2 linked regions of the Macaca fascicularis genome follow. The main gene of each other region encodes a partner of the protein of the gene in region 2 in a complex. Links are inferred from orthologs where the notes say so. Each region holds a gene or a part of one and is shown on either strand. Other genes may lie near its edges.

The links. Proteins that work in one complex are often made in the same cells at the same time.
Region 1: the proteins of ELMO1 (region 2) and RHOG are in contact, whole or in part, in a crystal structure (PDB 7Y4A), measured with the Homo sapiens proteins. The link is inferred for Macaca fascicularis from reciprocal best matches to the Homo sapiens genes ELMO1 and RHOG. Residues at the interface, in NP_001193409.1 of Homo sapiens: Lys9, Val10, Ala11, Glu13, Tyr18, Pro19, Leu21, Met22, Ala54, Asn71, Gly72, Ile74; in NP_001656.2 of Homo sapiens: Val36, Phe37, Asp38, Trp56, Tyr64, Arg66, Leu67, Leu70, Ser71, Pro73, Gln74.

The regions. Positions count from the first base shown.
Region 1 is NC_088388.1:70,446,451-70,449,058, forward strand, and holds the end of RHOG (rho-related GTP-binding protein RhoG), read left to right. Parts: intron 1-829; 5' UTR 830-897; coding exon 898-1,473; 3' UTR 1,474-2,056; downstream 2,057-2,608.
Region 2 is NC_088377.1:93,082,029-93,085,681, forward strand, and holds part of ELMO1 (engulfment and cell motility protein 1), read left to right. Parts: intron 1-404; coding exon 405-556; intron 557-2,739; coding exon 2,740-2,818; intron 2,819-3,653. UniProt on the Homo sapiens protein: Involved in cytoskeletal rearrangements required for phagocytosis of apoptotic cells and cell motility. Acts in association with DOCK1 and CRK. Was initially proposed to be required in complex with DOCK1 to activate Rac Rho small GTPases.

The DNA of each region.
Region 1 (2,608 bases), on a different chromosome or scaffold from region 2:
TGTGCCAGAACCCTTTCCAGTCTCCTGGTGGAAAGTGTCCATATTTAGTTGAGGATCTAGTGGATCCCTAAATTTGTGCACTCTCCTTTTGTGTCTGTATAGCCTGGAAAATAGCTAATACTGGCCAGGCGTGGTGGCTCATACCTGTAATCCCAGCACTTTGGGAGACCAAGGCAGGTGGATCACAAGGTCAGGAGATCAAGACCATCCTGGCTAACTCGGTAAAACCCCGTCTCTACTAAAAATACAAAAAATTAGCTGGGTGTGGTGGTGGGCGCCTGTAGTCCCAGCTACTCGAGAGGCTGAGGCAGAATGGCGTGAACCCAGGTGGCGGAGGTTGCAGTGAGCAGACATCACACCACTGCACTCCAGCCTGGGTGACAGAGCGAGACTCCGGCTAAAAAAAAAAAAGAAAAGCTAATACTTATGGATGAGGCACTGTTTTAAATGCTTTACGTGTATTATATAATCCTTATAATGACTCAATGAGGTAGATATTATTTTATCCTCATTTTACTGGTAAGAAAACTTAGGCATAGAGAGGTTAAGCAATTTGTTCAGGGTTACACAGCTAGGAAATGCAAAACCAAGATTTGACCTTAGTTTATCTGGCGCCAGAGCTTATGTGCTTTCTACCACATTATACTGCATCTTTGCTCGGTCTCAGGGCCTTTCATTGTGTATCTTTCTGATGACTGTCTTGGTGGGACTTTGGGATAGTGTCAGGTTAAGGGAACAGGAGCCGGTTTCCCTTTGTGTGCCCTTATCTTTTCTTCCCAGTAGGCAGAGGCCTCCCTAACCAAGAATGTCCCCTTTCATCCGTCCACAGGTCACTGCAGCCAGAGAGGTCCAGAAGAGAGAGGAGGCACTGCCTCCACTACAGCAACTGCACCCACGATGCAGAGCATCAAGTGCGTGGTGGTGGGTGATGGGGCTGTGGGCAAGACGTGCCTGCTCATCTGCTACACAACTAACGCTTTCCCCAAAGAGTACATCCCCACCGTGTTCGACAATTACAGCGCGCAGAGCGCAGTTGACGGGCGCACAGTGAACCTGAACCTGTGGGACACTGCGGGCCAGGAGGAGTATGACCGCCTCCGCACACTCTCCTACCCTCAGACCAACGTCTTTGTCATCTGTTTCTCCATTGCCAGTCCGCCTTCCTATGAGAACGTGCGACACAAGTGGCATCCAGAGGTGTGCCACCACTGCCCTGATGTGCCCATCCTGCTGGTGGGCACCAAGAAGGACCTGAGAGCCCAGCCTGACACTCTACGGCGCCTCAAGGAGCAGGGCCAGGCGCCCATCACACCGCAGCAGGGCCAGGCACTGGCCAAGCAGATCCACGCTGTGCGCTACCTCGAATGCTCAGCCCTGCAACAGGATGGTGTCAAGGAAGTGTTCGCCGAGGCTGTCCGGGCTGTGCTCAACCCCACTCCGATCAAGCGGGGACGGTCCTGCGTCCTCTTGTGACCCTGGCACTCGGCTTGGAGGCTGCCCCTGCCCTCCCCCACCAGTTGTGCCTTGGTGCCTTGTCCGCCCCAGCTGTGCCTTAAGGACTAATTCTGGCACCCCTTTCCAGGGGGCTCCCTGAATGCCTTTTTCTCTGAGTGCCTTTTTCTCCTTAAGGAGGCCTGCAGAGAAAGGGGCTTTGGGCTCTGCCCCGCTCTGCTTGGGAACACCGGGTATTCTCATGAGCTCATCCAAGCCAAGGTTGGACCCCTCCCCAAGAGGCCAACCAGTGCCCCCTCCCATTTTCCGCTACTGACCAGTTCATCTAGCTTTCCACACAGTTGTTGCTGCCTATTGTGGTGCCTCCTCAGGTTAGGGGCTCTCAGCCATCTCTAACCTCTGCCCTCGCTGTTCTTGGAATTGCACCCCCAAGATGCTCTCTCCCTTCTCCAGTGAGGGAGCCACAGAATCCTGAGAAGGTGAATGTGCCCTAACCTGCTCCTCTGTGCCCAGGCCTTACGCATTTGCTGACTGACTCAGCCCCCATGCTTCTGGGGGCCTTTCCTACCCCCATCAGCATCAATAAAACCTCCTGTCTCCAGTGGCCCCGGCTCCTCCCTGTGTGCTGGGCATTAGCGGGTGGGCATGGGCTAGGGCTCCCCAGAGACTGGGAGCCTTTTGTTTTTTCTAGTAGACAATAGGCTTCATTGTGGTCCCCTCACCCCCCAATTTCCCTAACAAAGCTCTAGGCTCCCTTGGAGGGGGCAGTCTTGCTCTGGGGCCCAGTCACAGATGCTATAGTGGACTCAGACACAAAACTTGAGGAAAGACTTCCTGATCTTAGGACTCAGAAAGGGAGAGGTTGAGAGCCATTAGCCTAAAGGCAGATGCTCTCACAGTCATGCATCTGAGAGCTGTACCTCACATCACCAAGAGGACAGTGCTTTAACAGGAGTTGGAGTTTGAACCCAGGTCTCTGCCTCAACTGAAGACTTCCAGGTGTCCTAGCTTGCAGTCCTAGAATCATTACAGATAGCTCAGTCACTCCTGCTCACCAAAACAGAGGCTTAGACCAGCCTTAGGAGACTCCAGACCTAAGGGGGATTGGGGGGATGCTGCTAGGAGTCATACCCTGCCATGGACTTACTCCCTCCCC
Region 2 (3,653 bases):
GGAGCCTGGGAATGCAAGAGGAATGGCAATTATCATATGTTGAAATTACCGTCCCAGAGAAACACAGGCATCCTTACAATATTTGTGTTGAAATTGTCTGCCCCCAAAAGATGAAACTCAGGAGAATAGTCCTGGGAAATACAGAAAGAATAATCTTTGGAAGTATGTCTTTTTGAAAAAATTTGCTTATCAGTGAATTATAGAGATGTGATAAATCATGCTTTGTGATGATATCATGAATCATCCCTGGATTGATGGGTTTCTTGCTATTTGCTGTAATTCCAGGTCATCCTCAGTGCCTGGTGTTTCTTAAATGAGTTCCCGATTTGCTTCATTTGTTCCCTTCTCCACGTCTCTGCTCTACTTACCACGAGCAGTCAATTGTGTCCCACTTGGATTTTCAGATAGCAAGTTTTGTGAACAAGTCAGCCATAGACATCTCGATCCTGCAGCGGTCCTTGGCCATTTTGGAGTCGATGGTGCTCAATAGCCATGACCTCTACCAGAAAGTGGCACAGGAGATCACCATCGGCCAGCTCATTCCACACCTGCAAGGGTAAGCATGCTGAGATGCTCTGGGGAGGAGAAATGCTTCAGGAAGATGGCCACGGTGATGCACTGGGAAACATTTTGTGTTTTTATCGTTTGGTTAAATGTATAGAAAAAAATCTCAATATAACCAAACCATGTGTCCCACTGGAATGGCATGGTTACTTTCCCTTGGCCCCTGTCCCTCACTGAACTCCAGACTGGTTCTTGGCACTGCCTGTCCCCACACCTGGCCCTTGGTAAGCTCTCAATTTTAATGCATATTGGTAGATATTGGCAGAGTTTTACTTTTAAGAAGGTAAAACAGGATGATTTGTTCTCTTAAGTTCTCTTTCCTAAACCATCTAAGCTAATGTTTTCTGTGATATAATGAGTATTTTCATAGTTAATTAGAAATGTAATGTTATGCCTTTTTGCTAGGAATTTTTAAAGGCAGGCTTCTTTCTTAGTTATGCTCAAGGTGATTCTAGTGAGTTGCTTCTTTTGTATTTTATAATAAAATAAAGGTTTTTTTTTTTTTTCTAGTGGCTTGAGCTATAAAATGGAAGTAAGATAGCTGCCTCTGCAGCCTGCAGTCTTTGAGGCATTTTTCCCCTTCTTTCCTCCCTTAGGTAACTAGGAAGGTTGTCTCTGATGATACCAATCTGAGGAGGACTCTATTGTACAGTGCTACTTTAGAAATTAAAGTATTTTGGGTTGCAGTGATAATAAACATTGTGAGCTCGCTCACACAGGAAAGGAGGTTATTGGAACAATACTGGGGTACCTTGTAGAATCCAGAAATGACATAAGTAGCTAAGCCTTGAGGAGGAGAGAAACCATAGCTTCCCTGGAGTCCTCAGCAGATGGCCTTTTCTCTAGAATTGTGATTGGCACTACAATGACCCAACTCCCACTAACTCTTGTCCCTGGTCCAGTAGGTCGCAGTTCTCAAGAGGAAACCCGATTGGCCCATTTGGGTTGGTGGTGCAGGGTGGGAATGGTTCTCTGAAATGTTAACTGTTGTGTTTATAATATAAACTACCAAAGTAGATTATATTAGATATTTTTTTCATTTGGAGGTGGGAAGATGATCAGCATTTAAAATTTAAGTCACAGAAGCTGAGGATTGTGGTGGCCTCAGTGATTGTGACCTCAGAATCATAATTCTTCAAAATGATGAGAATGTAGGTAGCTTCTCTAGAAATAAGACCAGTTTCACATTTCCTTTGAGTGTGAACTGCATTAATTTATATACTGTGTCTTTTCTGGGAATCTCAAAGGCACACATCTTCATCCCAAAGCACATTACCAAAGTGAAGAGTTTATTATTCTCCAAGTACTGTGCTAAGGATTTTATATGCATAATCTCATTTTATCTTCACAGCAATCCCATGAAGTAAGTGTGTCTAACCCCACGTTGTAGATGAGGTAACTGTGCCTTGGGGGATACCCATGAACTTGTCCAAGGTCTCAGCCAGCCTGTGATGAACTGGGCTTTGCACCCTATCCTGGCCTGGTTATAAGCTCCACTTCTGTCTCGCTGGCCTGATAAGTTATTCCTAAATGTAGCTCATAAGTCACTCTTTGTTTATGCCTTGAGTCCTCCTTATTTACTGTTTACCACATGCCTTACATTAGAGCTTTGTTTCATTTATTATTTCTGGTTGCTTTCCAGTGAAAATGAGATTTATAAACAAACACCCGTTCTTTTTGTTATTTAAATGTTTATATTTGGAAATAGAATTTTAGAATATGTAATAGAGCCACCCAATTAGCCCAAGAATGTAGAGACATCTGAAACTACTCCCTGATATATTTCTTGTATCAGACAGAAAATTACACATATGTACACACACATATACATACATACATACATACATACATACAAACAACTATTACTAGTAGTACATCAATTACAACATCCCCTAGGTTTATGCTTTCAATCTGAATAAGAGAGAAGGCTGCCTGTATTTCTGGGCATTCTGCACTGACCAGTGTACTGTGAGCTGGTAATACTAGTTGTATATTTACCGCCTTGTGATGTTTGAAATGCATTCTCAGTGCTAAATGCATTTGCTAGGCCCTACCTTTGTCTCTCACTTGTTTTTGGGAGAGGAGGCTGATTTTGAGGCTTTTCAGGGTTTGACCCAGGGCTAGTCTCTTCTAACTTTGTGTTCTGATTTTCTGAATTGTTCTGTATCTTTACAGGTCAGATCAAGAAATCCAAACCTATACTATTGCAGTGATTAATGCACTTTTCCTGAAGGCTCCTGATGACAGGAGGCAGGTAAGTTGCATTTGTTTAGTCTAACGGCTATGTCAGGGCTAAGAACTTTGTGTGCGGAGAACGCCCTCTCCTTCCATCCGGGGACTCGTTGGGCCACTCTGCTGTCCTGGCCGCATATGGACTCTCCACAGCAGCTATGTTCTGCTGCACAGCTGGCCCGCTGGGGTCCTTCCCAAATCCAGGGGCAAGTGGGTAGAGACGGTAAACCCTTGACTGATGAGGGATGCTAGGAGTGTTCCAGCAATAGAGCCTTTTCATGAAATAGAATGCAACCTGGAAGACCAGATGTACAAAGGTGAAAACGTTGCTGCTGGGTGGAAGCGGAGTTAGGAGTCCCCGCGACCTTCTGTCGTTTCATGGGATGCTCACTAGGGTGAGGGAAGTGCAGTCCTCGTTTTCTGGATCAGGAAAGGGAGACCCTGAGAGGCGCCACGTTTTTCCCAGGGAGGGAGGCGATGGAAGGTGAGAGGACAGGAGGGATAATATGCAGATGGCTGCTCCTGGTGGAGATAACTGCATTCACATGTCAGAGGGGCTCCTTGCTTGGTGAGATTACTTATTTCTGTGTGTGGATGTGGCAGGGAAAATGGAGCCATCTCTTTCCTCTGTATAAAAAAAAAACCAGGTGCAGTGGCTCACACCTGTAGTCCCGGCCCTTTGGAAAGCCAAGGTAGGCAGATATTTGAGGTCAGGAAGCTGAGACTAGCTTTGTCAATATGGTAAAACCCCATCTCTACTAAATATACAAAAGTTAGCCGGCCTGTTTTACAGCCATGATAGTACACACTGGTAATCCCAGCTACTCGGTAGGCTGAGGCAGGAGAATCACTTGAAC